5 linked regions of the Danio rerio genome follow. The protein of the gene in region 1 interacts with the protein of each later gene in a pairwise test. Links are inferred from orthologs where the notes say so. Each region holds a gene or a part of one and is shown on either strand. Other genes may lie near its edges.

Region 1 (6,501 bases):
ATTTTATACATATACACACATATACACACTCTATACAAATACAGGACACCTTCCATACTTTTACACACGATACACTCTATATAAATTCACACTTTACTCTCATTACATATACACATCATACATGAAACACTCATATACACACAAGGTAAACTTTATACACTTCAGATATTCACACTTGACAATCTATACATATTCACACTTGACACTCTATACATGAGTACACATGATACTCCTGTCAGGGTCTGAGATAGAACCTGGGTCTCTTGACCCAGTTGAATGATACAGTATCTGCTTATACATACACACAACTTGCACATATACACATGAAACACTCCATACAAATGACAACTTCCATACTTATACACACATGATACTCTTCATACATATGCACACTTGACACTCTATACATACACGTCATACATACACACGAAACACTCTCATATAAACACAAGGTAAACTTTATACACTTAGTTTAGATATTCACAGTTGACACTCTATACATATTCACACAATACACTCTATACATATACACACATGATTCACTACAACCATATGCACACATGATACATGATACATATGCAATCTATACATATACACATTTGAAACACTCCATACAAATACAATTAATACACTCCATACATATACACATTATCATACATGATAAGCATACAAAGATACAGCTTATACATAAACACACAAGGTGCACTCTATACATATACACACTTGACATTTCATACATATTGACAGTTGACATTCTATACAAATACATACATTACACTTTACACATATTCACACACATATGATACAATCCTGTCAGGGTCTGGGATTGAACCCTGGTCTCTGGTGTGAGAGGTGATTGACATTACCACTGTGCTACTGACAACACCTCTCTTGAGTATGCGCGCTCAACCCCCCCCTCGGCGCTTTACAATACGCGCGCCACAACACAGCTGATCAGAACGCGCGCGACAGCACCGCTATTCAGCACGCGCGCGGCGACAACACCCGCTTTAGGTTCGATCATTTCCATCTTTTTTTCATCTCCGCTACTAGCAGCACACTCCATTTCCGCATTACTGGATCTGTAGCGACAACAGACCGCAAAGGATTATGGCCACGCCGGGGCTGATGGGAAATGAAGTTTCAGCTACCTCCCGTTCGCTTCATTCGCCTGAGCAAATTTTCTCAGAAGACCTATAGTTTTACCGAGTCATGCGACTTCGGTAATATCGAAAAAATTTAATATTGTGGTATGACGGTATTTACAATACCGTTACATCCCTAATATATTTATATATATATATATATATATATATATATATATACATACACACACACACACACACACACACACACACACACACACACACACACACAAACACAAACATATTCACACTTGTCACTCTATACATATACACACATGATACACTTTATACACATACACACATGAAACACTCTATACATATGCACACACAAAACACTCCATGCTCATATACACATGAAACACTCTATACATATACACACATGACACCTTCCATACTTTTACACATATATGCACACTTGACAATCTATACATAAAATGCACTCCATACATGATACACTCTAAACTTATGCACACATAATACATTTTATAAACACATGGTACACCATCAACACTCTATACATATACACACAATTCACTTTATACATATTCACACTCTATACATACTGTATACACACACAATACACTTCATAAATATATATATAAACGCATAATACACTCCTGTCGGGGTATGGGATAGAACCCGGATTTCTGGCGTGAGAAATGATTGACATTACCACTGAGCTAGAGAGAACATAATACATTCTATACATATTCACACTTGACTCTGTATACATATACATACATGATACAGCTTATACACTAAGCTATTGGAAGTTGAACGATACAGTATCTGCTTATAAACTCTATACATACACACACCTTGCACATATACACATGAAACACCAAAACCATATGTACACATGAAACACTCCATACAAATACACATGACAACTTCCATACATTAACACACATGATACAAAATAAGATACAGGACACCTTCCAAACCTATACACACATGCAACACTCTATACAAATGCACACATGATGCACTCCATACATATGCACACAATACACTCTATACATGTACACTCCATATATACTCTCTATACATATTCACACTTGTCACTCTATAAATATACACAAATGATACACTCTATACATAATCATACTTGACACTCTATACATATACACACATGGTACACTCCAAATATATAGACACATGAAACACTCTATACATATGCACACACAAAACACTCCATACATATACACACAAAAACACTCTATACATATACACACATGACACCTTTCATACTTTTACACACTAGTTTATTTATATATATAGTTTGCATGTTCTACCCTGTGTTCGCATTGGTTTCCTCTGGGTGCTCAGGTTTCCCCCACTAGTCCACTGCGTAAGACATATGCTGGATAAGTTGGCGGTTCATTCCGCTGTGGTGACCCCAGATTAATAAAGAGACTAAGCCAAAATAAAATGAATGAATGAATGAACATTTACATAATGTCTTTGATAGAAAACACAATTTAATGTAATATAGAGTAGGCTACTTTGCAAAAATCTTATGCAACCATTGGTGTTTTTGATATGTAAGACCATTTAATTTGTTTACTCCAGTCCACTCTGTTATATCGGTGCTATAGAATATTTATTTAGAGAGCATTTACAATATACTCTTTTAGATTTACGTTTACCCCAATCAATGTCCTGTATTTATTTCCGAAGATCGCCCTCTAGAGGCACTTTAAAGCAATAATGCAACAACATCCTTTGCGGAACTAACAAGTACACATTGTTTCCTACGGACTTTTTATTTTCGTGGACACCTTTTTTGACAGCAGAGTAAGCACGTGAGTGTAAAAGCGTCAATGTTTACAGTAAAGTCATCATTAGAAAAGCTGCAGGCAGATTGGTGTTGAAGTTATGCATTTACATTTGTTGTTAAACTTTTATGAAAACTTAATGGTCTTGGAAATGCAATATCTGTTATCTCTTACTAAGAAGTTCTCATGAGTGTATTATATATACTTTGTTATGTCTAACTGGTCAGTGTAATGAACTGCACCATGTGTGTTTCGTTTCAGTTGCTTCAGTGAATGGATTGTATTTGTTTCATTGCGTTGATATTGAATACGTTTTGTGTTTGCTTAGTTAACCATGATACCCGTGGCGTCTGGACTCTACATCGGGTCAGTGTCTGATCTGAAGGATGCTGAGAGTCTGTCAGCTGCAGGTATAACACACATTCTGACTGTAGACTCAGAGGAAGCTTCTGTCACTGGATTCAACACCAAATTCATCCGAGCTCTGGATGATGAGTCCACAGACCTGCTGAGCAGACTAGATGACTGTACCAGCTTTATTTCTGAAGCCCTTAGCACACAAGCTGACTCCAAATCAGCAGCAGTTCTTGTGCATTGGTAGGTTTCATAGTTTGTTTGCTAAGTTTGTTGAATAAAAAACGTAACGGCATACACATACTTAAAAGGTAATTCAATAATACGTGATCCTAGACATTGAGGTAAAGTTTATGTTCACACATTCAGACTTTCTCTTTCATTTAAGTATTCTTTGCAAATATTAAATAGGGAAATCATATTATCAGACATCAAATATCAAAGTACAACAATGTTTACAGTCAAGTAAAAAGTGCTAATTTTGCTTTCGAATCATACTTGCATATGATTTCAGACCGAATATTCAAAGTAGCGTGGTAAACAATATAGGGACCATGTCACAAGTTATCACTGTCCAAATATGAACAAATGTGGGAATAAAAACTAATTTTACCTAGACCTCAAATTACTTCATAAGTGTCAATTGTTTTACAAGTGGGATTTATACATTTATACACTGAATAAATAAGTTTCAAGTGATTTAAGGTTTGTTAAATGAGATGATATTTGGTGAAGATACAACTATTTAAAAATCTGGAATTTCAAGTTTAAAAAATTAAAAAATTGAAAAAATTGGGCTTAAAGTTCAAATTAACTTCTTAGCTTACTTATAAAAAACTCAGTTTTGATGTATTTACAATAGGAAATTTACAGGATATATTCAAGGAACATGATCTTTACTTAATATTCCAATGATTTATGGCTTATAAGAAAAATCTTTTATTTTGGCTATTGCTAAAATATTCTTGTGAAACTGGTTTTTGGTTGTTGCTAGAAGGATTACACCTCCGGCTAACAGGAATTATTTTTGTTATTTATTAAATTACTCATAAAGTTTTTTTTTATTATTTTTATTTTTTTTATTAACGTCTACCCCAAGTTTAAACCTACTCCTCACAGAAACATACAAGATGGAGTATACAGGGTGATAAATCGGACATTCTACTAGAAGCATAGATTTTAACTTATAAAAAATGTGACAGGGCCTTACCTTTAAGCTTGTCTTCCTCAAAAAATGTGAGTGTACAAGCATTAAATCATTTCTATCAATGATAGAAAGCATCCTTGATCACCGTCAGCTTCTCCTCCACCAAATGATGTCACTTGCTTTGAGTCATAGCCTTAAATGTGTATTGAATTTTATGTTAAATGAACTGCAAATGTGACAGGACTGACTGAAGCATGGGGAAAATTTTAAATCTATTTGTAGTATTTATTTGTAGAATTTATTTATCATTTCATGTTGTTACTCAAGAGATTTGTTTTTCTAAATAACACAACTATTAAAGCTGTAGGTTTGATTGGGCTGAGGACAAAGACAATGACAGGGTTTGTACATTTGTACATTGTACATTCGTAAAGTTTTTTAATAAAGAAAAAAAAATCTGAGAACAAATCAATGACATATTCCTTTACAGAACAACTCACAGAAGTCAACCATCAGTCCATTTTAGAAATTTTTGGGACAAAATACTTTTTTTTCACTGTATTTATGTTTTTATTTATTTATTTCAGGGACAGATAATGTAAGTTTCTGGTAGAAGGTCCCATATACAGTTGTGGAAAAAATGAGAATCTACTTGAAACTTGAAGTTCTCTAATTTGTTTTACTTTTATAAGTTTAAAATAAAAGTGTCATTTTGAGCAATTTTGTGATACATTTGATTAGGCATAAACAGAAGTACTGTTTTTTAGAGAACCAACCAAAATTAAACAACATTATGCTTTTAACTAGAGCAACCGTAAGGGAGATATGAAAGCTAGTTTTCTGTTTTTATTGTATCAATACTCTTGTATCGCTATTTTATTGCAGCAATTTTTCTGATACCTTTTGGTAGATATTTATTCTTGTTTAATCATTAACTTACATCAATTATAATTAAATCATATTTTTTTGTATTCTGTGAACTGTTGTGTAAAAAAAACAACAACCAAACAAACTATTAATAATAATTAAAATAATTATTCAACAATTATACCATTTTTTTTCAAAAGTTCCAATTTCAGAGGAGTTCATGAATCAATATTTAGTGAAATATCTCTAAGTTTGAATCACTATAAGTGGAAACATTTGTCGTTCTGACCAGTTTTCATTTTCGGAATACATACAGTAAAATTAAATAAGTACAGTATGCTCTAAATGGTTGTATTTTTTTATTGGAAATTTACAAAAATGTTGTCAAATCTTTATAAAATATATTAAAACATATAAAGACTTAAAGACTAAATTCCTTTTTCTCTCTCTTTTTTGTAGCCATGTGGGGCAAAGCAGAAGTGCTGCAGTGGTGACTGCTTACCTGATGAAAACACAGCACCTGACCTTACAGGAAGCATATTCTAAACTGCAAAACATAAAACCAGATGTCAAGTGAGTGTACTTCATTGTTGTGTCTGTAACTAAACATTTATGAAAAGAGGTGTTACTTAGGATCATTCCTAACTTTTTCCCAGAATGAATGAAGAGTTTCTGGATCAGCTGGCACTTTATGAATTGATGGACTGTAAAGTGGACACCACAAGTCCTGTTTACAAACAGTTTAGGCTGAAAAAGATTACAGAGAAATATCCAGGTATGTTCATTCTTATTGAAACTTCTTTGATAAACAGTATGTGACTTCATTATACTTTCTTATGCTGTAAAGTGTTTTAATGATATGTCATCAGTGAACCATTTTGGAGAACAAAATGTAAACAATGGCACTGAACTGAATGAAGCTAGCATGTTGAATGCTGAAAATAGATCAATTATTGTCATGTTTTGGCAATTATGAATCAGTACTAAAGTCTGGCAATAGTTATTACAAATAAAGTATATTATAGCCTATTAAAATCACGGAGCCAAAATATTACACCTTCTAAGTCCTTGATTTAGCAGTTTCCACAATGGTTAAGACAGCATTAATAAGCAGAATACCATAATTAGTTGTAGATTACCATGCAATCCATGCTGTTGTTTACATCTGAGTATTTCCAAAGTGGCTGCGCATTTATAGTAAGTAACTGAC
Region 2 (5,928 bases), on another chromosome or scaffold:
CTGGTGGTTGTATGGGTGTTAATGGGTAGATTGTGTACCTACACATGAACAAAGAAAAATTAAAACCTGTTAAAGTTATGACAAACGACACATTATTTCAGTAGATTAAAGACTTAAGTTTTTTTTTTTTAATTGAAGACATAAAGACCCTGCAGACGGTATGTTTAATAACAGATGAAATAAATGTTTGTGATTTACCTACATGGCCACTTATAAAATAAGATCCAAGACATTTATGAATTATATCATTTTAAATTTACAAGTTGTAAATGAACGATGCTTGAGTCACATCACAGGCCTGAGATTTCTCAAAAACAGCAGTTTTTTTTTTTTTTTTTTAATAAGAGATCAATGGAGGACAAAGAAATGTTAAACAATTTGCTGCATTTTAAATGTCAATGCTAATTACATTAATTGCATGAAAGTGAAAACGCAATGCCACGTCAACAATCCATACACAACAAGAATCATTTGAGGACATTTAAAATGACTACTTATACATTGCAAAACATGTACACGTTTTAAATTCAACTTTGATAAAACCAAGGTTTTGCCAATTCATTAATCCCAAAACAAAACAAATTAATCACTTTGATATCAGAATGTACAATTTCTTTACAAAAATGTAGCATGTTAAATTGCAATTATTGCCACCCTGACTTTTTTTTTTCATCTGTAAAAAATTAAAGGAAATACTTACCTTGCATTCTAGTTTTCTTTGTAGTTAATAAAATCACTTTTGCTACTGAACACAAAAAGAGGACAACTCTTCATCTCATCCTCATTAGCATTGTGTGAAACCACAAGACAGACACCAGATGGAATTCACAGGCAAATCTTTAATAGTTGCAAAAATACAGGGGGGAAACTCATGTGCACTTTATGATCTACAATCTAAGAAACTCATGCATACAAACAACAGCAACGATTGATCAACGGAGCTGGTGGTGAGAAGACTAAAAGAAGAGGCTTTGAGCAGAGCGGAACCCAGGCCTACAGCTGAAACAAGGCCCACGGAGGTGAAAAGGCATGCGTCTGGAAAACACAAGCTCAGCATTGTCAAGAGGCAACGGAAGCTTTTTGGTTTCATCTTTAAATGGCATCAATGTCAATGTCCTCCTCCTCGTGCTCTGCTTTAGCGGGTTTTGTGGTCTCCATTTTCAGCTCGCGGGCAGATGAGGAGTAAACCACCTACAGGAAAACACACAAGAGTCAATTCAGTGTGTGTTAATTAACATGGCCATCACAGTAAACTGGTCATTTACCTTATTCTGATTATGGCCACAATTTGGTCAGTTTCAAATTTTGGAAATTCTAACAGATTCCTATAATCTTGGTCTAAAATTTGTGGTCTTGTCTGATGTGTTCACTGGCAGCTGATTAATGTCCATGTGATTAATGGTCTAATGAAATTTTCATGCTTTGTGACTTCTTACAATAAGCAGCAAACCAAAAACCAATAGTAATCAATAGCATTGAACTTGACTTGATCAGTGTGACGACAACAGTCCACCTCAGAGAAATGTCAAAAGAAGGTTTTAGGTTCTTTCACCTTTAATTATTGATTAACAAAAGCATTAAAAAAATATTAATAATAGTGTGAGCTACTTTTGAAATCAAAAAGCTGAAAATTTTAAGACGCATTAAATGAATGTATACTGCGGCTTTTACCTCAACGTTGTCCTCGTCCTGATCTTCCTCTTCCTCACTGCCCTCACTCTCCTCCTCTGCCTCTTTCAGCCATTTGATGAAGGGCTCAGCCTTGGCATGAATCTCTTTAGCCAGCTCTTTGGAGACATACTTCTTGGACACCTAAAACAGAAACAGGCTTAGGCTCTGTTTACAGCTGGCATCAAGATGTGATCTCACATTGCCAAACACAGAGAGCATTAAGATCAGTCTCTTTGGTGCACAGATTAATCAAGAGTTAGTTTTTTGGAGTGGTGCATCTTCCAGCTTTTTCTTGATCATTCAAAACTAATAACAACAAAGAAAGAAGTTTTAAAAAAATATATAAAAGATCAAAAACTGCTACATTTAAAAAAAAAAAAAAATTAAAAAAAAAAAAAAAAAAACGGTCAAAAACCAACTTAGCTTTGTGAAAGAAAAGCTTAAATGTGTAACTGTTTAGATGATATTTTAGATTAAAGTAAGCATTTGTCTTTACATTTTTTTGTTTCTCTTTAGTGCACTTTATCAAGACTATTTTATTATTATTAAAAATGTAACAATTGTTGTAGAAATATGGAAGATGGAAAAAAAAAAAAAAAAAACAGAAAGGGGCTATTTTATGGACAACTGGAAAGAACTTTTGGACTCCAAGATTAATCAGTGCTGATGTATGCGTGTGTATATTGTCTAACCATGCAAGACCACTCTCACAATGTTCTTTACCCTGCAGTTTTTTTTTCAATATTTATACTTATTTTGTCCTCCGAAAATGGTATTTTAAACTCTTACATAATGCAAGTTACAGTATTATACTTTGAAAATAAATAAGTTATTAACATATATATATATAAATATATAAGACATAATAAAAAAAGCTGTAGCTTTCTATTATAAGCAAACCTTTGCAGGAAGCAAAAATTGAACTTTCCTGGTCTTACTTTAGTGATATTCAGAGATTATGTTGTTATTATTATCTTGCTATATATGAAGCTCCAAAATATTTATTAATCTCTTTAAGTACCGTTTTTTGGAGTTTATGAACATTTTAAAGAGACAATGAAAAACAATACAAAGATAAGCTTTCATTTACGCTGATTTCTTCACTAAATGCTGTGATGGTGTTAAAAATCAGGACAAGAAAACATTTATGGTTTGACCAGTTAAATAATAAAAATAAATAAAAGATCAATGGACCCTTTTTACAAGACTGTTATGACGCGTTTAATGGTCAATCATAAATCTTTGAAAGTTTAATACTTTATTTTTTTTTTTTAAGTTTGTACATTTATATTCATGTATTACATCATATTTGCATCAAATTACAAAAACAAATTACCACTTATGCGATGCATTTCTAATGTAGTGTCAATGGGGCTGAGTAAATTTGATATTTTCCCCCTTTTTCTTTAAGTCTGTGTAACCCTCGTGGAATTTTTTTTTTATTATTTCAGCAAATAGGGTTGTAAAAATGTATTAGTTGTACTCTCCAATTCACCGCACCATAAGTTTTTCCAGCTATGACGCCGTCTGCTACCGGGAAACCCAAAAATGAGTCTATAGGCAGAGAGTATCAGGTCTATAGAGGCCATTTAAATACATTCAGCCACATGAGCATGTAACACTACAACAGCAAGCTGACCATATGCATTTGACAGCCTGAATGTGGTCAAGCTCAACAAGTGTTGGAGGGCTAGTTCAGTCAAGTATGCCTGCTGTTATCAGAGCCTGAGCTCTCCAGCAGCCTGCAGGTCACAGACATCACATTACAACCCCCTCAAGATGCTCAGGCTAAAATGACAAAAGAGCCTTCAAGAGTTGCCTAGCAACAAGGCTCATCATGCCTATATCTACAGCTACGCACTTTCCACAGGGATCAGTCTCAGATCAGATTTGTTTTCATGCATGTGAACTCATTTATTCGGTGCCCCCCTCAACTCCAGCCTGTATGATTGTTTTATGACAGATACTAGAAGAAGGTCAGGTCTAGATTGTGTGTCAGGATTTTACCTTTTCAGCCCATGCGAGTATGACATCTTCCTCCACCAGGTCTCCATCATACAGATCTTTGAGTATGATGGGGACTCTGGGTAAGAGCTGGGTCTGGTGCAGCTTCACCAGACACTCAAAGCCTCCAAGCAGATACTTCTGAGCTTTCTTATTGTTGTGGCAGAACTGGAAGCAGAAAGGGAAAGTTTCTAAGTTTACTATAGTGCATCAACAGTAGTGTTTGTAAAAAAACAACAAGGGGGAAATTTTTAAGTGGTCATGGCTTTTCTTCAATGCTACATTCATTATAACTCTCAGGTGTCCACAGAATGTAAAGATCATCATTTCCATGTTCTAAAGACTTTTGGGTGGGGGAAAAAAGCAGTTTTTGTGTGACGCAAGGTAAATGAGATGTTGTTCCCCACCCACTTTTCAAAGGAGGGTTTTGCCCTTATAGCGTATGCCTCAGTTCATGCAAAGCAGGGATTCTCAACTGGTGGGCCACAGCCCAATAGTGGGCCTCAGCGATCCTACAGGTGGGCCGCAAGATTAAATTTATCTCTCAATATTATGCTGTAATTTTTGGATTTCATTATTAATATTCTATATTAAAATGATCAAAAAAAAAAAAATCAACACACTTTCCCCATTCTCTGATTAATTACTTCAAACTCAGCGCAAAAAAACAGCCTCACGATCATGTCTGCAACTGGTACACAAAATGAAATAAGACTGCTTTGGGAATATTGCTCATCATAGATGTCACAGGATGATAGATCGTAAAGGAACGTGTAGTCTGGCACACTTAATACAACAAGTTCAATATTTTATCGAGAAAAATTATCATAATCTGATATACAGTAGCGACTTTCGTAACCGACAATAAAAATCAAGTGATCTGACCGGGGCTATAAGTCTGTTCAGTCACAAACTATGCGAGAAGTGAAAATCTCTCTTTGTGAATTTTTGTGTGAACTATTTGATATATCAACATAGTTATCCAAATGAATGTCGTGTGAGTGTTTTATAATGGACTCCCACCCATACAGGAGGATTTAGCGAGGCTCAATGGGGTTTCTGCCATAGAATGTAAAATAAGCCTGCATGTGAGCTTTGGGCGCACTCTGGCCACACTCTGGTTCCTGTCAGCGATCTCCCAATAATATCCAGCTGCAAACTCAACATCAGATCAACACATTCCAACAGATTTAGGGTGTTTTAGTGAGTTAGTGTATTTAGAGCAGTTTTTAATAGTAGAAATGTAATAGTAGATATTCAGTCAGTCCAGTTTAAAGCAGAAGCTGGTATTTTGCAGTCTCCCCATTAAACTGGTTCTCTTTGAATCAATGTTTTTTTAATATATAAAATGATAAATATTTACGTTTAAATGAGCATTTCATACAAACATTTTAGAGAAAATGTCAGACAGGTGGGCCTTCAAAAATTGATCGGAGAAAGAAGTGAAAAGTTTGAGAACTCTTGATGTAAAGTGATCGCATCATTTTTGAAGGCTTAAACCACTCAACTCATACGGATCTTTTTTCCTCCTCATCTCTTCACAAATGTTTTCATGTCTTAGTTTTGGGTGAATAAACTTTCAGTCCCTCTTTATATTATGTGGCCTTAACTACTACTGTATAATGTACTTACACTAAAATTCATGTTACAATGTACTTATTGTAAAAAACAAACAAACATGTTTTACATCGTACTTATGATTAAAATACTTGTATGTTATTACATCCAGTTAATTTCTGCAATTACACGTTTGACCATCACTTACACCTTAACCCACACCACCAATTCAAGAGCACTATAAGTGTTCTGCAATTCATTATTACATAAAGTACATTGTATTTATTTTTTTAAAGCAGGTACATAGTGAAGGCCACCTAATATAAAGCGAGACCAAACCTTCATTAAAAGAACATAATTCTCTAAAAGGACAATTACTTTAACTTCAGGGTGAGCTAACACCTTCCATTTCATGGCAATGTTAGAAATCAACAGAAAACTATAAAGTCTTATAATTTCATTGATTAAAAACTGAGAAACTTATTAAATTAGAAAATTATTCAGATTTTATAAATAAAATTAAACTGACAGTTTTAGCCTTTCAAATATTGTGAAGCATGAAGAGATTTCAAAATGGCAGACGGCTAAAAAAAAAAAAAAATAAAAAAATAAAAAAAACAGTGATCTACAATTTAAAAACAAAACAAATGCTAACAGACGCAAGGTCGTACCCTGAGGAAATGACGCTTGTACTTC
Region 3 (6,688 bases), on another chromosome or scaffold:
ATTTAGCTTAAGACATATACATCGTACCTAACCAGCAGCAGCAGATTAGAGAGTGTAGAAATAGGCAGTAAATACTCACCTTTTGATTCTGTTTTCTGCAGGCTCTTATCGCTTCATGGTAGCACAGCACACAGGAAAAATAACTGTAGTGCCATGGTGATATGCAAATTAATGGATCACGCTGAATACAAGGGCATTTATTATTCATAAATTACTCATGTTTATGCAAATTAGGTTACACAGCCCTACTCAAATAGGAGCTTGGTAATTTATGCTGCCTTGCTTCATATGCCTTGGCTTCTTGTTTAAAAAAGCTAATATTTGTTATAAAATATTGCGTGCGTGTGCAAGTGTGTAGTAAAAAACAGTCATAAACGTCTTATTTTTTTAAGAACAGCTTTTATTTTTTTTGTGTAAAAATAAAATCATTGAAGGAGATTCAAATGTTAACAAATTGAGGACCTTAATATTCTACTGTGAAGCTGGATGCAAAATAGAATAAATGATTGGACTGTTTGCAACATAAGAGGGACGTGTTTAAATATAACAAACACTTGGCGCCCCCGTGTGGTCTCCTCAGAGAAAGAGGTTATGATGATGCTAAAACAAAGACTACATATGAAAGTACATTGTACACTTCAGTACATATGGCTTTAGGCTTGCAAGCTGTTGTTTTTTCCTAGGGTCACAGATCTCCTCAAAACATTGTCAACCTCTTTTTCAAAGCGATGAAGCAGTTTAAAGTCACAGAATCCCCTGTAGAGTAAACCGGTTGCCAGTGTTTTCATGGCCTCCTTCATCTGCCACAGTGAGGGTACAGTGACGCTGTGTGCATTTCCATTGAGCTCAGCTGTGACGACTGTGGGTTCGAGTTTGGGAATGTCCAGATCTGATAAAACATCACTTTCACTGTACGATTGGTCGGTTGTACTTGACTCATCAGTTTGCATGCGATAGGATGCACTTTCTTCCTTAGTTTGGTCATTTGGTGGATTTTCTGGACATGGGTTGGGGTTGGTCACACGTTGTACGACTCTTCCCCTAGCTTTAAAGCACTTCAGCCAGTCCTCATTTGACTGGAAGTTAATGAAACCCATCATCCGAGCCAACCGAGATGCTTCAGAACAAATCACTGAGTCATTTACTGTAACGTTGTTCTCACGGCAATGGTCGATCCATCTCCAAAGCGCATCTTCAAGCTGTTGCATGTTTGCATTTGTGAAATTCGTCCTTGGCTCCAGTTTTCCCATACTCTTTTTATCCTGATTATTTTTGCCAATCTTGAACATTGATCGAATGTGTCCCTCTCTGTTTAGAAATCGAGTAAACCACTCTGCATTTGCCCTGAAGTTACCATAACCCACAATCTTGGCCAACTGAGCAGCTTTTGAACGAATAGTCGATTCATTCAAGTCAACGCCGCTCTGCTGAGTATGATCTATCCACCGCCAGAGTGCCGCTTCGAGTCGATGAGTCTTTCTGGCTCCAAGGTTTTTTTGAGACTCTGTCACTTTATCTGCAGATTTTGGATCTCCAGCGGCATTCCCCTCTTTCTGATCTACCTGGAACATCTCTCGTATCACTGGCTCCCGTGATTTAAAGCGTTTCAACCAGGCGGAGTTCGCCCGAAAATTAGAGAGACCCATTTCTTCAGCCACTCGAATCGCTTTTCCACGAATCATTGGCTCGTTTACTGTAATACCGTCGGCAAACGAAGCATCTATCCACCTCCACAGTGCTGCTTCCAATTGATGTGTCTTGCAGGATAGATAGACAGCTCCAGAAAGGTCCGACTTGGCGTTTTTCATGTTTCTTTTCCGGAGCCAGATGCTAAGCAGAGGAGCTGAGACGTTTAGCAAACGCGCAGCAGCGTTTAGGGGCATTTGAGGAAGTCGATCATATTTCTCGAGTATATGTTTTCTTTCCTGCAATGATCTACGGATATATTTCCTCGTGGCCATGTTTATGTGCGGTGAGAAGAAGTGATGGGGATTCGATTTCGAAGTCCAAAGTGGATCTCTTTATTGAACCGGTTCTTACAGAATGATTCGATTCGAGCAGTAACATCTCAAAAATAATAAACAAATATATAAATAACGCGACTGTGCTGTAGTTTCATCAACAACAATTTGTTAAAAACAAAAATATGTGTTTATAAATGTCTTTCATGCTTGGTTTTAGCACATGTGATAAGTTTATTGCTTAGTGTTCATTTAAAACGGTTCATTAAAACAAACTGTCCGAAAGAACCGATTAGAAAAAGTGAATCAGACTCGTTAGAGATGAACACAATCGACATCATCCAAAGGCGCAAGTGGCGTGTATCGCATGCGACGCTTTCTTGCGTGTTTAGATAACGTACGTTTATAATCGTGAAACTTTTGAGTGCGATACGCAGCTTTTCGTCTTGTATAATAGTTGATGTTTGTACGACTAGACTTGATTTAAGAAACATCATCGTGTGCATTAGGGGTGAGGTTATTGTTTTAACGTTAGTCAAACTTTGAAACAGAGTAACTTACGCTTTTAATAAGATGCGAATGCATTTGCCTCGGTAATACTGTTCATTAATTGAAATGCTAATAATTAACGTAGCTTGATTAGCGTTACAACTAATAATTGGGCTACGCAGCTGCATTATGTTAAACGCACATCTGACGTTAATCATATTTTCCTTGTTCTGTCAGCGGACGTGGGTTAAACATGTATCACAACAGCTCACAGAAGAAATTCTGGACATATGATAAAGAGGAAACTTTGGATAAATTAAGACTTGAAGCTAATCAGAAGTTCTGCTCAAAAGCTCTGTCCAGTGGAAAGGTAATTCACACGAATGCAGATCTATATTTCTCTAGTTATAACCATGTGTTATTATAAAAAAAGTATTATATTATTTGTATTTCATATTATTTGTGTAATCACAGATTTACTACAAATACCCTGAGTAATCTTTGATTATGCATAATGATTGTATTATTTTCTTGTTGTGATAATTGCTAAGGCTTTTATCTCATTGTACCATATTATGACAATAATACAAGTTGCAAAAAAAGTTTACTTAACAAAAAGGACCCTACACTGTTGAGTTTTGCTTTTTTTGTACATACATTTTTTTGATTAAACATATATTTCAACCTAAGTAAATTGCAAAATGTTGAAAAAAGTAAAATAGTTTACATTACAAGTAAATGTCAGTAAAAGTAGCATCAACAGTGAAAATAGCTACATTTGTAATAGGTGATGTTAGTTTAATTAATAAAAATATAGGACTGAACTTTATGACTTATAAGCTCTTTTAAAGGGATCGGTCACCCAAAAAGTTCAATTTCTTTTTTCTGTAGAACATAAAAACAAAATATTCTAAAGAATGTTGGAAATTGGCATGAGACGATAACCAGTTTCGAGGTTTACAATGGTTTAGAAAAGTCAAGGTTTTAAAACTGCTAGAATTTTCTGTTATACTGTCCTATATATGCTATATGTAAGGGTTGTTTTATAAATGTGTTTAAAGAAATTTGTGTTTTTGAAACTAAGACAGCAGAAGTCAATGAATTATTTTATTTATTTAGCCTGAAATGTTTACTGCTCTATAATATTTTAAATGTTTCCTAAAATAAAATATAGTGTTCTGTTCGATGGTGACCCAGACATTTGAAAAGAATTTACTTTTAAGCAGTAATCACAAAACCATGATACAGTGAAATTTTGATATTTTTATTCAAGGTCATCATACCATCAGAAACTTACACCAGCCCATGCCTAGTTGCAAATGAGCTGTCATCGGCAACCACTGTAGAAACCAAAAACTACAGAAGTCATTGGCTGCTGCCACTTTCCAGCATACTTTGTTTCAGTTTCTTTCATCTATTAAACACAAAAATTTCAGAGTTTGAACAAATAGGCGAGTAAACAATGGCAGATTTTTTTTTATAGTAGTAGTAAACTATCTTTTTTAAGTCTATAAAATAATAAAACATTTTAAAACTTTTGAATTTAATGCTTTATTAAAATTATCTAAGATTAAATAACCAAATCAACACGTTATCTTTTTTAGCCTGGAATAAATGAATCCACACTTCTCAATGAGCAGGAAGAGAAAGTGCTTTTCAAACACTATGAGAAGAGATTGCTAGACTTTTGTGCTGTGTTTAAGCCTGTGATGCCTAAATCTGTTGTGGTAAGTAATATCAGTGTTGCCAGTTAAGCATATTTAATATATCATATATAATAAATATGATTTATATATTTAATAAATAAACAATGATTTATTTATTATGCTCTTCTGGCCTTTTGTGTCTTATTTTATTTGTTTATTTGTTCAGGGCACAGCTTGCATGTATTTTCGAAGATTCTATTTGAACAACTCATTAATGGAGTATCATCCTCGGACAATAATGTAAGCATAGTGATTGATTGGAATAAGTTAGAAGATTATAAAGTATTTCAGATTCTGACTTCCATGTCTGTTTTTGCAGGTTGACATGTGCATATCTGTCCTGTAAAGTGGATGAGTTTAATGTGTCCAGCACTCAGTTTGTGGGGAATCTTCAGGAGAGCCCAGCGGGACAGGAGAGAGCTGTAGATCAGATTCTGGAGTATGAACTGCTCCTTATCCAGCAGCTGAATTTTCATCTGGTCGTTCACAATCCGTATCGACCTTTGGAGGGTTTTCTGATTGATCTGAAGGTGAGCCTAATGCCTAGTTGCAAACAGTCCTATCTCTAATGCACAGCATTGGCTGAGATAATGTTATTATGGCGAATATACTGTAGCTGGTGTGCATTACATTTGCCACATTACCAATAGTCGGTTAACTGAGTGCATGGCGTCTGCATTTTTCAGACCAGGTACCCATTGTTAGAGAACCCAGAGATGCTTAGAAAAAGTGCTGAAGACTTTCTCAACCGAGCAACAATGACAGATGCCGGACTGCTCTTCTCTCCATCTCAGATTGCTCTCACTGCTGTCCTCAATAGCGCTGCACGTGCTGGCCTCAAGATGGATGTGTACGTTTTTATTTATTTATTTTTTTCGTATTTGCAGATTATAAAAATATTGTGAATATTGCTGCAAAAGAGACGCTCCACCTTGTATTCTCTGATGGTAAACTTGACACTTATGTTTTTCACATTAGATAAGTGAAAAAAAAATTCTAATCTAGATGCAGTTGAAGGTTTCCCCCCCCAAACTATTTCCAAAGTGATTTTCACCAGAGCAAAGCCATTTTCACAGTATTTTTATTATATACCATTTTTAGAGAGTTTTATTTATTTTAGTTAAAGTAGAATAAAAGTAGTTTTAATTTTTAAGGTCAACATTATTAGACCCCTTAGTTTTGATTGGCTAAAGAACAAACCTGTGTTGTACGATGACTTTCATCAAGGTGTCTGCAGCGTCTTATAAAGTATTAAAAATTGATAAACCATTTAAGAGAAATTTAAGGTCCTAAAAAAGTATTAAAACATTTTAAAAGCTATTTTACATTGTCTTAAAATTTAGATTATACAATGTAGTTGTATGATAATTTTGCCTTTAATCTGCCAACTCTGGGGTGCTGTGTGGTTTATGAAATCGATAAAATCCTGCTAGATTTAACATCACATTGATTTGTTTACTGTAGTAACTAAGGCAACGCCGTTATTCCTGCTGTTCTATTGTAAAGTTGCTTTAAGGCAAGTCACTTTAAAAAGCCTCTCGGGCAGTATGCTCAGGCATTTTTTTTGAAAATTCTCCAAAATTGCTTGTCATGCTTACGATTAAATTTCGTATTAAGAATCACCAATAAAATTGAACAATTAAACAACAACAACTACAGAAAATCTACAGAAACTCTCTTCTGGTCCAAGCCATCATGCAATCATCAGTCTTCATCATCAGATTGATCAGTCTAATAGCGATCTGATTGACTCCTGTACTAGAAAGTGGGGCTTTATTCATTATATTGACGTTACACTTTTTTCCCCATTCAAAACTGTACGATTGTGTTTTTTAATAGTTTTTGTCTATAGGGGCCACCCGCTGGATTAGCATTTATATTCATTATACTGTATAAATAATCTTTCTTAAAATCAGAATTGAGTAAATATACTTTAAGTTAAAATGTTGCCAATGTTCCTGGTTGAAACCTAAAGTGGTGATAAGGACTTAAGATATATGGAAAGTGTCTTAAAAAAGGTTCTAAAAGGAATTAAATTTCACTCTCTGATTCCTGTTTATACACTGTTCATAATTACCCTAACTATTCAAATTAAGTCTTTAAATCACACTTTAAGCTCCATATTTATATCTTGTAAAATATCATGTACTGTCATCACAGCAAGGACGCAATCAGTGTTTAAAAATGTGTTGAAAATATTCCCTCCATTAAACAGCACTTTATTCATTGAATTTCTTTTCAGCTTAGTCTCTTAATTAATCTGGGGTCGCCACAGCGGAATAAACGGCCAACTTATCCAGCATGTTTTACGCAGTGGATGCCCTTCCAGTTGCAACCCATTACTGGGAAACACCCAAACACTCTAATTGTATCGCATATCTTTGAACTTGTGGGGGAAACTGCAGCACCTGCAGGAAACCCATGCAAACGCAGAGAGAACATGCAAACTACATACAGGAACGCCAGATGACCCAGCCGAGGCTCGAACCAGTGACCTTCTTGCTGTGAGGCAACAGCACTGCCTACTGTGCC
Region 4 (6,627 bases), on another chromosome or scaffold:
ATTTTTTTAGAATGGAAATATATGTAAAATGTTTAGAATTGAATAAAAGCGCATGCAAACCCTGAAAGAATTTGCATTAAAATGCAAGAACTGACAATGCAATGTTTATTTTTTGTAGGTTCAATTTAGACAAATGTTGTTTTCTTCATAGTAAAACAATTCAATTCAATTCAGCTTTATTTGTATAGTGCTTTTACAATGTGGATTGTGTCAAAGCAGCTTCACGTAAATGGTCATAGTAACTGGATCAGGGTAGTTCAGTTTTTAGTGTTTAAGTTCAGTTTAGCTCAGTTAAGTGTGGTTTGAAGTCATTATTGAGAGTCCAAACACTGAAGAGCAAATTCATCGATGAGTAGCTTTTCAGATCCTGAACCAAATAAAAAAGAGCATTTTGCATGGTTGAATTGTTTCTGAAACATTTTCTAAAAGTGACATTTAAAATGAAAATGCCGTTCATTTTTTTTTGTGTAATATGTTTACAATTAACATTAACAAGGTCATTGTTAGATATATTGTATGGAAAGTTTGGGACCTTAGCAGGGGAAGAGCTGGGACAAAGTAACATGGGATGAAAGCAACAAAGTGATTTTCTCGAACTCTGACAACATTTTATTCCCAGGCTATAACAGCACATTCAGCATGCAACCCTCGATGGAGCTGCCAAATATCATGTGATTTCTTGTGTCCCACAGTTATCTCCAAATTTCAGTTTTTAAGTGCAATAAGTAAATTATTGAAGTGGTTCTTTTTTCCTTATTACATATTGTGTTTCTCATGTGTCACACTAATGATCAATCTACAAGTTATTTAATGCAATAGCACACCCTTGAGTTTGAAATGTCTGAGTTTTAAATTGCAAGAGTTCCTGTGGGCACAAAAGTAACACGTATTTTTGTCCTGCTGCTAATAGACATGCCTTATTTTTCACTTCCACATTAGTTTTCAGTTTTTTTATTCATATGTTTTATAAGATTATTGCATGTAGCCAATAATAATAAAAAAGAGCATTTTGCATTGTTGAATTGCTTCTGAAACATTTTCTAAAAGTGACATTTAAAATGAAAATGCCGTTTATTTTTTTTGTGTAATATGTTTGCAATTAACATTAACAACGTTATCGTCAGATTTATTTCAAATAAACAAGATTGAGCCAGTAAATCTAGCAAATATTGTTGTTTTACTTTTGACCCACCCGTGTGTTACTTTCGTCCCAGTCTATGGGCTCAAAAGTAACAATGTGTTAAACAAAGTAACTTTTGTTCAAAGCAGGGGTTTCTAAACTTTTTCTTACGAAATCCTAAAAACCAAACTTGATTGAGGCTAGTGGGCCAAAGGTGAATATAGTTGCAATGGGTAATTTCCTAGTTTATTTAATAATATTTTTAAAAAGATTAGAAAACATTGCTTTATATAAACTAATACAGTATTTTTTTTTTTCATTATTAAGGAACTTATTATGGTTTCACCCTGCCCCCCCGCCACCCACCCACCCCCCCATGCGGTACAGGTGAATTGCGTAGACTAAAGTGTCTATAGTGTATGAGTGTGAATGGGTGTGTGGATGTTTCCCAGAGATGGGTTGTGGCTGGAAGGGCATTCACTGAGTAAAAAATGAGCTTGATAAGTTGGTGGTTCATTCCGCTGTGGCGACCCCGAATTAATAAAGGGACTAAGTCGAAAAGAAAATGAATGAATGAATGAATGAACTTATTACAGTAAAAACAAAACTATCAAATTTATAACAGACTTACACTGGTTTTTGCCTTGATTTGTTCCCTGATGTCTTCTGCATAGACCTTTATTCGACTAACAGTATTTACATAAAAAAATTTTAAAAATCTGATTCATTTACAAAATTTAATTGAAACATTTAATTTCAGTTAGCTTTTTTTATCTCAGCAATAAAACAAAAAAGGTTAAGTCAAATTAGAAACTACAATCTCTGTTAAAGGCATTAGCCCCAATCCTCTCCATCATAATCACTCTCCTCCCAGACGGGATGCTGGGCCCAATCAAAGGTTACAGTGGGACAATTTAGGCCCGCGGGCCTTACTTTGGGCATCTCTATTATATATTGATACAAAATAACACCAGATTTTGAAACACTATTGTGAGTTAGTAACCACAGCAAAATAGTTTTGCTAAAAACATTATAAAATGTTATAAAATTCTTTTAAAATTTAGGTTTTTATGAAAAATGTTTCTTTTGTCCCCGCTTTCACCAACTGTATAACTGAATAAATAAATTAACTTGAAGTAGTTTCAGAGGATGGGTGAGATTATTATTATTATTATTCATTCATTAACTCATTTTTTTCGATTTATTCCCTTTATTAATCTGGGGTTGCTATAGCTGAGTAATTCACTAACGTATCCAGCATGTTTTTCCCGCAGTGGATGCCCTTCTAGCTGCAACCCATCAGCGCATGTATTTCGATTTGTGGGTGAAACCGGAGCACCCTAAGGAAACCCACACAAGCACAGGGTGAACATGCAAACTACATACAGAAATGTCAACTGACCCAGCTGATGCTTAAACCAACGACCTTCTTGCTGTGAGGTGATTGTGCTACCCACTGCACCACCATGACGCCCCTATTCTTATTATTATTTCAGTAAAATAGAAAGAAATTAGTAAATTCATCAGTAAATTAGAATTGTTCTAAGCAAACTCATGCTTTGTCATTTATGTTATGTTTGTTGTCATATAGGCTATGTTGAACTCCTGTGCTTTGTTTTTTATCGTTTAAATTCAGCTCAGTGGCAAAAATATATATATATATTAATTAATACTGCTGAGTAATTTTTTTCTATAACTACTAGTAGAATATTTTACACCTTTAAACAAAAACCTGTTTATGCAATGTTTCGTTCGGAGTCAAAACGTTCACTTCAGACAATGAATCGGATAATTCGACTCTGTAATCAAGTGAAATGCAATTCCTTTTGCGAATCGATTCTTTAAAAGAACCGCTTTTAATGAACGAGTCTTTCGCGTGTGTTCGCCACTCTCGCGATATAAACTTTTCCCGGTTACCTGAGGAGACGAGAGTTTGGTTCAAAGTGTACCCCTATTGGAATGAACAAAAACAAACAAAAATCTTCTTTATAACTGCAGGTAGAGTAATGCAAACCAGTTACCGTTTACTTTGTCGTGTTTACCGGCTGACTGTACGTTTCTTTATCTATGTTACGAAATGCTGGCGGTGTTTATGTAATAGTTTGTCCGTTAGCAGTGAGAGTATATGCTCCGTGTTAGTCTGCTAGCAACAGCAACAAACCAGTTTATTTCTCTCGTGTTTCAGCTAACTTGGGGTTCTGCCTAAACGCTTAACGTGTGTGAAATTGTGAGTTAAATAAGGTGAACTTGAATTGGGATAATTTGGTGTGTTCTCCACTTTCGCCATCCGCGGTGGGATGTTTATAAACCGTAACGTTAGTTTACAATAGCATAGTTGGTTCAGATACTAGTACTTTAAGTGACTTATAATAGAATTCAATAAAAGCACATCTTGCTTTCACGGAGTTTAAAGGTTGTTGTTTGTGACATTTGAAGCCAACGGCAAGTTAAACACTTTAAGTTACTGGTATAAAGTTGGTTTCAGATTCTCACATTCGTTCAGTCATTATTTGTGAGACGACATATCTTGTTTTCCATACTTTGAATATTCAGTCTTAAATCGCATGCAAGTATGACTTGAAAACAACATTAGCACTGTCTGACTGTGAGCAATGATGTACTTTTTTATTATTGCAATAGCAGGCAACTACAACAGGTAGAAATGCAAACAGTTAGATGTATAACAAACAATACAAACTGCAACAGGAGAAATGCGACACTTTTAAAGAAATATAATAAAGGTAAAGCAAAAGAAAGACAATGAGGAAGAAAAAGAAACAAAAACTAAATAAATAAATGAGGGCACATGAAAAAAATAATACAAATTAATGTAGTATATTAAATAAAACACATGTTTTATAAGTTTTAATTGTTTTCTTGTTATGAGACTGCGATATCAATGTTGTTCTTTAATTGTCATTGGCTGCTTATATGCAAATAATACTTTTCTGAGATTATATCATTAAGAAGAAAGTCTGAATGTGCAAATATAAAGCCAATTTTACCCTAGTTAAAACCCTTTAAGTAACGTTACTATCATTAAACATGATCGTAACGTTTTGGCAGGGAATTAATTAACATTGCATTGCTATTTTGTTAGGACACAGTGATATATGTTGCTTAGTTGTGTGAGATCATAATCAAACAGCTGTCTATATTTTTACCCATTTTACACACATGGAAAATAAATTGTATAAAGATTTTTTTATTGTTGTTGTACTGTATATTCATTTGTTAAATGTATTCAGTTTCATTCATTCATTTTCTTTTTGGCTTAGCCCCTTTATTAATCAGGGCTCACCACAGTGGAATGAACCACCAATTTATCCAGCATATGTTTTACGCAGCGGATGCCTGTCTAGCTGCAACTTATGACTGAGAATCACACACATGCACTACGGACAATTTTAGCTTACCCAATTCACCATTTAGTGTCTTTGGACTTGTGGGGAAAACCAGAGCACCCGGAGGAAACACACACCAACACAGGGAGAACATGCAAACTCCACATTGAAATGCCAACTGACCCAGCCGGGGCTCAAACCAGCGACCTTCGTGCTGTGAGGCGTTTGTGCTATTCACTGCGCCACTGTGACACCCAAATGTATTCAGTTTGTTTAAATTGTTTTCCTTAACATTTTTTGTTTACATTTTATTTTTGCCCGTCAAACACATACCATTTTCTTTAGATTTGGTTGCATTGAGTATTTGTTCAGTTTGTTACAAATATAAACTACTACACAAATTGATATGCATGAACAAAGCATTTGTCGTTTACATGTTTTTTATGCACTTTAAATAGGTTGTGAATTTTGCAACATGGTTTACTAGGGTAAAATTGGTTTTATATTCGCACATTGAAACTTCCTACTGAATGATATGATCTCAGAAACGTCTTCTTTTCTATTCTCAATAGGGAAATCATATTAGCAGCCAATGAACTATCAAAATACAGCATTGTTCACAGTCAATGTTGTTTTGAAGTCATACTTGCATGCAATGTCAGAGCAAATATTCAAAGTAACATAGTGATAATTGTATTGTCTCACAAGTTATGGCTGAATGAATATGAGGATTTTTAACCGGTACATAGTTTTATAGTGCTTTCTGCTTTCTTTTTCAGGTATTTTTCATCTTTATTTATTTATTTGACTTTTATTTATTTTTTTATTTAATTTTTTTTTTTTTTTTTTTTTTTTGGAGAAAATCTTGTCTGCATGAAGAAAACCAGAAATGGCATCACCACAAACACTTCAACCTGTCCTGAAAATGAAGGTCGACGAGCTCTTCCTCTTTTGGTTGAGTGAGCCGAGTACTCAGGCGATGCTAAAAGACTACCTCAACAAAATCAAGAGTGGAGAAGAAATAGATCTAAGCCATGGTGAATTCAAGGGCACAAGCACTTTGATGTTCACTGAAAACAACAATAACAATATAGCATCAAAGATTAATGCAACGGAGAGGATGAGTGCGGCCCTTGGTGCCCCGTGCAGTCCTCCTTCGGCCACGCTGCCATCTGCGACTGGCAGCAATAACAGGGCAGGAGTGAATGCGAGGGCCCTGCGACGCTCTGTCAGCACTAAAAAGGTAAAGCCTTTATGCTCCACATTCGCTTCACAATACAGCATGACCCTGGTTTTGTCACTTTGCAGACTGCTGTGTCAGTCTAAAGAAATGTGCGTTCTACTTTATTCATATGTGGCGATGGCTCTATCCATCAGTTATACTCCATCAGTTCTTCGTATACATAGAAACATTACTCAATTTCCTATGTTAGCATTTCATGTTGTGAAGCATACATTGTCAAGCATGTATTCATGTAGAAACTGTTTTAGTATAGCTTACATACTTGTTTGGTTTTATATCAATGGTTTGGAAGTTTTTATTTATTATTTTAATTTTAGATAATGTTAGTAATTTTGTGATACTGTCATCTTTATTAGTTTTTAGAATTTCAAAAGCAGATCTTCCTTGCTTGACAGTGTTTTTTAGATTATTAATTTTATATTAATAGTAATTATTATCATAAAAGTAACAACTATTATAGACCATGTGGTCATGTCATTGGCCCATAAACATTTCCCGCTTGTTATCAAATGATTTCATAACTGTAACTAGAGGCAATTCAATTATAACTTAATGTTAAATTATGAAAAATATTCATATCCATATGAAAAAGGGCAAATAAGTTATAATATATGTAAATGAAATTATTATTTTAACTAATATAAAATCATATTACTATTTAACAGATAAATTTAACAAACATTATACAAATTGAATAAGCAAATGTTACAATACTGTTTAGTTTTTAGTGTATTAACTACAGAAAAATTGTATTATTATTGAAGCTGTAAATAATGTTAAGTCAAGATTAATGATTCCTCTGTTTAATTGGGTTAATTAACGTTAATGACAGATGGAAGCAGGTTAGTGCAATTAAAACCTAATGCACAGATCTGACATATTGTAACTGTATTTAGTAGTTATGCCTTTTAGATTTTCAG
Region 5 (6,704 bases), on another chromosome or scaffold:
CTTCCTAAAGTTAAACAGACAGATAAACTCTAAAGCAGATAATGCTGCTTTATTCCATGCCACAATTAATATGTTGAAACAGAGTGAAACTACGTGCATACAGTGCTCTATAGATATCTATGTACATAACATTAATATCTAAGTTGAAATATATATACAAACAGATAATAAACTTAATGCTTCCACAGGTGATCACAGGATGAGTGATCCAATTAATCTCAATTCAGTTCATCTTTATTTCTATAGCGTTTTTACAATGTAGATTTGAGTCAAAGCAGCTCAACATAGAAGATTATAGTAAATTGAAACTGTGTCGGTCCATTGATGTGCAGCTAAAGTACCGAACCATGCAAACCAAGGGCGACAGTGGCAAGGAACAAACTTTACCAATTGCCGAAAGTGAAAGAAAAAACCCTTAAGAGAAACCAGGCTCTGTTGGACACGACCTTTTCTCCTCTGGCCAAACTTCTTGCGCAGAACTGCAATCTAAGCGTCTGACGCTGGAGAGCGCTGGACGTCCATCGTGGAGAAGCTGCAGGTGGGAGAGGTCACCAGCTGGTGTGCAGACTGACTCTTCAGGATCATTGAGGAAGACTCATCTGTCACTGGGGTCTTACAGGAATCAGTCTCATGCTATCCACTCCTCCATGACCTCCACAGCAGCTGCTCAGGATACGGCCTGGTCCAGGATTATGGAAATCTCTGGAATAATAGAAACAGACTAACATAATTGATGTTCAAATTGTAATTTATTTTGGGAAGTGTTCCCAGCTTCAGCTGCCCTAAGTAATGCAGACTAACAATCCTTTGGAGGATTTGGATTTCAAAAGCATTTGTGTTTTATGTGTTTGCTAATGCATAGAGATGTGTATTTATTCTAGTTTTAAACTGACAGAGGCATAACAGTAATGATGTTACTCCTCTGAGAAATAAAGTTAATTACCAGTTCTTCACTAGTTTTGACCATAGGCTGCCATTTTTAAATCAATACTTAATTTCTCACTATTTAAATTCCATTTTAAATATCAGTAACAGTTGCTGGTAAAACCTTTTTTTTTCCAATAAATACATGGTCACTAATGATAATCTTTATTCCAGTATAGGCCCACTGAATATCAAGAATTCAGATATCACTGAAATGGTATTTGCTGATATGTGTGAATGTATCTCAGCTTGATGCATTTAGGAATTTCTAATATTGATAACAATAATTAATTTCCTATATCTAAAATAACTTTTTTTTTTGCTATTAGCAATCACACTGTGCCTACACTACCTGACAAAAGTATTGTCGTCGATCCCTGCTGTAAGAGCAACAAATAGTAACTTGACTTCTAGTTGATCATTTGGAAAAGTGGCAGAAGGTAAATTTTTTGATTAATCATGTTGAACTGCATCACACATACTGCTGACCTATTGGAACCCTCATGGACCCAAGATTCTCACAGAAATCAGTCAAGTTTGGTGAAGGAAAAAATATGATTTGTGTTTACATTTATTCAACATCAACAGCCTGAGATATCAAGACATTTGCTGCCCTTTTCATTACATATCACAGGAGAGGGCAAATTCTTCAGCCGGATCACGCTCCTTCTCATACTTCAGCCTCCACATCAAAGTTCCTGCAAGCAAAGGTCAAAGTGCTCCAGTATTGGCCAGCCCAATCACCAGACATAAAAGTTATTGAGCATGTCTGGGGTAAGATGGAGGCGAAGGCATTGAAGATGAATTCAAAGAATCTTGATGAACTCTGGGAGTCCTGCAGGAACACTGTTTTTGCCATTCCAGATGACTTTATTAATAAGTGATTTGAGTCATTGCAGAGATGTGTGGATGCAGCCCTCCAAGCTCATGGGAGTCATACACAATATTAATTATTTTTCCATTGCACCATGACTTTATATTCTATACTGTACATTATTTCTGTTAAGTCTTTTGTTTTAGCAAAGTCAGGCCTTACTATCCTCATTAAATAATAAAAAATCAAGGCATAATCATATTTTATTTTGGTAAAAGAAGCGTACACTAGAGGCCTTTGCCTTTCAGCCACTGATACCAAATCATCAACTAAGTCAAGTTATTTGTTGTTCCTAAAACTTGGATAGGCCACAAGGTTTTTGGCAGTGTGTACTGGAAAAGAACAGAAATCCAATTCCTGAAATTAATAGCATTTAGCTAGAAAAAAAGTATTTATTGACATCACATATTTATAATGCTGCAAATGAATGTCAACTATACAATGTTCATTACTAGGTATGTCTGTTCTTGAATATTAAAATATATTATATATTATCAAGGGCTGATTTAGTGATTTTGGGGCCATAAACAATTCCAGCCAAGGGGCCCAAAAGTTCTAGAATGCATCTTTTGTACTTGAATTTTTAAAAATTATTTTCATATTTTTTTAGTTTTGCTGTTTTTTTCTTATATCATTAAACCTCATTTTCTATATTTTATCTTAATGCAAAATAATAGTTATAACATGTAAAGGACATTGTATCCATTTAAAAAAAATTTAGGTGCATGCCCTGTATGCTGATCCGTGTCACTAGGAGGCAGTCGCAAGTTTGACTCGTGTTAACTTATGTCAACAGAAGAAGATCGTCACCGCTGTTTGCGAACCACATCATATCCGCTGCACATCAACACAGTCAACACATCTACACAAAGTGCTGTGAGTATGATTGTTACTTTAAGGTTTACTCCCCTTTTAAAGCACAATTCTAGAAATATTTCGTCTCACTGTCTGTCGATTTCTCTATGTTACTAACGTTACCGATTGATCTCAAAGTTAAGGGGTATCGATATATATTTTGAGAAAGAGCGCTTGCTGCTGTCTGTAACGGATTTGATAAACAAACTTTATGGATTATGTTTTGTGACATACCAAAAAAAGAAAACGTTGTTTATTGTCTGACTGTAATAATTTATTTTTTGAGGCACATCTGACGTAATGTAGCAGCTTAACAAACTTGCTCTACCGGATTGTTTCTCTTCTTGAACGCAGAGTTTCAGTTGCAGCCCATGAGTGACATCATTTTTCCAGTAACGTCATTGAACACGTTCATAACTTACCATAACATAGAAAGCGAGCTTCATAGATTAAGTGAAGACATACAGAGGAAGTTTAGAAAGTTGCTTTCTGTGAAGGAGATCAAATTCATTGTTTTCCTATCAAGTGTAAAAGTCTTAGTATCCCTTGACTAAAGTTATGTGCATGTTCTTGTACTTATAACGTTAGAGGTAAAGTTGGTTTTATATTCGCACATTTAGAAGTCCCTATATTGTTTACCATGTTACTTTGAATATTCGATCGGAATTAGCCTGCAAGTATGACTTCTAAATAACATTAATTCTATCTAATTGATTGTGAACAATGTTGTACTTTGATAATCATTTGGTGCTTATATGATTTTCCTATTCGGAATTTGCAAAGAATACTTTTCTGAAATTATATTGTTAAGGAGAATGTCTGAATATCCGAATATAACTTTTCCTTTATCTTATACTTCACTTTGAAGAACCTTTCATCTATAGTTTGCTATTCATTAATCCAGCCTTTTGAAAGGGTTTTTTCTTAATAGGTAGATCTTTTTGCTGTTGTTCGCCTCATTTTCTGTTTAGTTATGAGATTTCAATGCTGAATTTAGATGAAATTTTAAGCACTTTTTACCTGACTTTATTGAATCAATTATCTTGTTGGATGGTCATCATAACCACACTTTTTGATGTACCAAAACATTTCCTAAATATTTATAATAAAGAAATAAATATGGCAAATATGTGTTTTTAAAACAGAAATATATTGCATCATTTATCATGCATCAACGTTTTAAATTAGAAACTGTAGCCTAGTGTAATTTATTAAGCAAATAACTGACTGGCCAGCACATTCAACTTTCCTCAGTCAGAATGTGGCCATTTAAATAATAATAAAAAACTAAAACATAATAATAATAATAATAACAACAACAACAGTTAAGAGCTTCACAGTTTTTCTAGCCTCTTGTATAAGTACTTTACACTTTATTGGTTATTTTTTGTTTCAAGAAAAGTGATTGATAATAAAAGTTACTTGTCAAATCTTTTCCCAATTTGAAAACAATAAAGTAGTGAAAGATGACTTTGCTTATGTCAGGTGTTTTCTTGCACAGCTGGATGTTGGACTCTTGAAAAATAATTGTTTGTATTGGCCAAAACTGATTAACTGAAGTCACACCAGGATTACGCTTGGTCTTAATGCCTTTTTCGATGGGTTATTTTCACTATTTATGATGGCATAGCAGTCAAAAAAGAACAAATGAGCTCATGTATTGGACAAATTCTGGACCTTTGTCAGTGTGGGTGGGTGGGTCTTCCGAAAACCCCTGGCTACGGGCCTGGTGAGTGTTTTTTTTAAGTGGATAAAAGGATTAGTTCACACAAAAATAAAACTTCTGTTATTAATTACTCACCTTCACGTCCTTTTAATTCCTGCATGAAATCTAAGTTTCCTCATCATCCTTTTATGGTCCAGACACATTTATAGTCCAGAAAAGGAACTAAACACATTGTCAAAACATTCCATGTGACTTCAGTGGGTCAACTATAATCATATGAAGCTCCAAGAACACTTTTGTGTGTCAAAAACGTATCAGATCAGGACATGCGTTTATTATGAACTCTGATTACCTGAAGCGGAAGAGAGGACAAATAGTGGTACTTAATCACATAATTTAAATTTTTGGGTGAACTAACCTTTTGAAGTTTTATATGAAAGGCCATGGTCCTTTGTTATTCATACAATGCAAGTCAACAGTTACCTGCACTTATAGAGTCAAACATAAATATACAGGCAAAACATATTTAACTTCTGTGACACCTGAAAACACATTGAGGTCTAATAAAGGGAAACTATAGGTCTGTGCAAAAAGCTGAGCAATATTAACAGTAACTTATTATTGCATCTTACCCAATGATCCCACTTTCTTCTTTTGACAACCACAATGTCCTTTACATCTCAATCAACCCACATAGTATAAATGTACCAGTGGCTCTCAACTCTGTTGGAAATTAAATCAACATATGAATATATTTAAATCAAAATAGTAATACATTCTTGTTGATTAAGATATGTGTTTTATTATTAGACACGTCGAGATGGATGCAAAAGTAAGTGACCCCTTTAGCAGCGAGGCAGAGCAGCTTCCAGGAGCAGGAATTGTGGGAAGGTGAGTCTGTCACCAGAAATACTACAATCTGTAAAAGCCCAAAACTCCAGAAATTGTTTATTGTTTAACTCTTATTGAGAGTCACATTAGATAAAAGACACTGCTAAATGATTAATTTCTTTAAAAAAATTATTTTAATTGTAACTTTCTTTGTTGTTGTTTATATATATATATATATATATATATATATATATATATATATATATATATATATATATTTATATGTATGTAAGTATATATAATATGCCCATATGCGATGTTGTTACCTTTAATTGAGTTATGACGCTATTAAGTTATGACGCTATTATTTTTATTACTCAATATTATTGTCGTCTCTCTTGAATGTCAGGCTTTGGCTGCCCAAAGGTCTGTCTGGAAATGTGATTAAGGATTGGGTGGACCGCAGGCGGAAGTCCATCCGTCCATGGGCCGGCTTTGTTGACCAGCGCAAGTTTTCCAAGCCCCGTAATTTTGGAGAGCTGTGCCAGCGTGTTGTGAGGAACCTGGACACCTATCACAGCAACTACACCTTCATCTTCATGGCTCTCATCCTCTATTGCATGTAAGGAACTGCTCAGTAAAAATCACCCTGAAATTTAAATGTATGCAAATAAAATGCATTAAACTAGTTCATATAGACAAAATAGGCTATAATAAAGACACCTCAAAAGGTAAAGTCTAGATTGCATATGCGGCCGGCTGGAAGTGCGATATGCACATCAATATAGCACCATTTTTTATGATGCTGTATAACAATAATTAAGGGGACACGAAACACCAAAACGCATTTTTTGAGCTGTTGACAGTCGTATACGTGTCCCACACTGCTAAAAACACTATTAGGACACATATATTTCACTAAAAAGTGAAAATTGGTTGTTTTTGCATTATTTCGAGCAAATTCGTACTTCCGGTTTGAAACAAATTTTTGAAGCTGCGTCACGGCCATGAGATCTTAGCGTGTATTCCTGCTTATAGACTGGACGTCTGTACCTGGGAGTTTCTTATTACGTCTCTGAGTGTGTTGCATTCAGTCATGAGTAAGACTTGGTTCAAACCAATCAGCGCGTTCTATTGTGTATGCGGTGCAACTTCTTTAAAATGCATGATAGCTTCCAAGTCTGTTTTTACCAGTTACAGTGTTTAGACGGCAGAGAGACGACACGTTGTGTTGCCAAGCGGGAGAACATGAATTGTTTGGAGATACAGGTCAACACTGTTGCTTTTAGAATTTGCTGCAGAGAAGGTTTCGTTTTCATTTTCCCTTTATGAGAGCGCAGCTGTACTGTGGATCACGTGTGCACGTGTTTAAGGAACATTGTTTACCCGAGAGCATTTCTCATCTGGAAAAGGTGAAATCCTGACGCCGCTCGTCTTCTTTTAATAAAGACGTGGCTCCATTTAGTGTTGATTGTCCTGTCCTGAGCGACTAGTGGTCTTTGTTCGTTTATTCAGAGGCAAAGTTAGTTCGTATCGTCAGCAGTACTCTTTCAG

The links.
Region 2: the proteins of dusp12 (region 1) and eif5 interact in binary tests that used the Homo sapiens proteins (3 or more experiments, as listed by UniProt). The two-hybrid records come from large-scale screens. The link is inferred for Danio rerio from reciprocal best matches to the Homo sapiens genes DUSP12 and EIF5.
Region 3: the proteins of dusp12 (region 1) and ccnh interact in binary tests that used the Homo sapiens proteins (3 or more experiments, as listed by UniProt). The two-hybrid records come from large-scale screens. The link is inferred for Danio rerio from reciprocal best matches to the Homo sapiens genes DUSP12 and CCNH.
Region 4: the proteins of dusp12 (region 1) and ppp2r3b interact in binary tests that used the Homo sapiens proteins (3 or more experiments, as listed by UniProt). The two-hybrid records come from large-scale screens. The link is inferred for Danio rerio from reciprocal best matches to the Homo sapiens genes DUSP12 and PPP2R3B.
Region 5: the proteins of dusp12 (region 1) and rabac1 interact in binary tests that used the Homo sapiens proteins (3 or more experiments, as listed by UniProt). The two-hybrid records come from large-scale screens. The link is inferred for Danio rerio from reciprocal best matches to the Homo sapiens genes DUSP12 and RABAC1.

What each region holds. Positions count from the first base shown.
Region 1 is NC_133177.1:23,704,265-23,710,765, reverse strand, and holds the start of dusp12 (dual specificity protein phosphatase 12), read left to right. Parts: upstream 1-2,894; 5' UTR 2,895-3,012; exon of another isoform or gene 3,013-3,020; intron 3,021-3,251; 5' UTR 3,252-3,257; coding exon 3,258-3,520; intron 3,521-5,750; coding exon 5,751-5,864; intron 5,865-5,947; coding exon 5,948-6,066; intron 6,067-6,501. UniProt on the Homo sapiens protein: Dual specificity phosphatase; can dephosphorylate both phosphotyrosine and phosphoserine or phosphothreonine residues. Can dephosphorylate glucokinase (in vitro).
Region 2 is NC_133195.1:21,172,033-21,177,960, reverse strand, and holds the end of eif5 (eukaryotic translation initiation factor 5), read right to left. Parts: coding exon 5,904-5,928; intron 3,844-5,903; coding exon 3,679-3,843; intron 1,813-3,678; coding exon 1,672-1,812; intron 1,192-1,671; coding exon 1,093-1,191; 3' UTR 820-1,092; downstream 1-819.
Region 3 is NC_133180.1:52,026,943-52,033,630, reverse strand, and holds the start of ccnh (cyclin-H), read left to right. Parts: upstream 1-2,312; 5' UTR 2,313-2,534; coding exon 2,535-2,554; intron 2,555-2,687; coding exon 2,688-2,820; intron 2,821-4,054; coding exon 4,055-4,177; intron 4,178-4,322; coding exon 4,323-4,396; intron 4,397-4,475; coding exon 4,476-4,686; intron 4,687-4,842; coding exon 4,843-5,006; intron 5,007-6,688. Other genes in the region: uncharacterized protein LOC100150296, read right to left, coding at 654-1,961. UniProt on the Homo sapiens protein: Regulates CDK7, the catalytic subunit of the CDK-activating kinase (CAK) enzymatic complex. CAK activates the cyclin-associated kinases CDK1, CDK2, CDK4 and CDK6 by threonine phosphorylation.
Region 4 is NC_133184.1:36,198,205-36,204,831, reverse strand, and holds the start of ppp2r3b (serine/threonine-protein phosphatase 2A regulatory subunit B'' subunit beta), read left to right. Parts: upstream 1-3,047; 5' UTR 3,048-3,118; intron 3,119-5,243; 5' UTR 5,244-5,353; coding exon 5,354-5,707; intron 5,708-6,627. UniProt on the Homo sapiens protein: The B regulatory subunit might modulate substrate selectivity and catalytic activity, and might also direct the localization of the catalytic enzyme to a particular subcellular compartment.
Region 5 is NC_133191.1:11,085,437-11,092,140, reverse strand, and holds the start of rabac1 (prenylated Rab acceptor protein 1), read left to right. Parts: upstream 1-2,646; 5' UTR 2,647-2,674; intron 2,675-5,129; 5' UTR 5,130-5,139; coding exon 5,140-5,210; intron 5,211-5,559; coding exon 5,560-5,772; intron 5,773-6,704. UniProt on the Homo sapiens protein: General Rab protein regulator required for vesicle formation from the Golgi complex. May control vesicle docking and fusion by mediating the action of Rab GTPases to the SNARE complexes.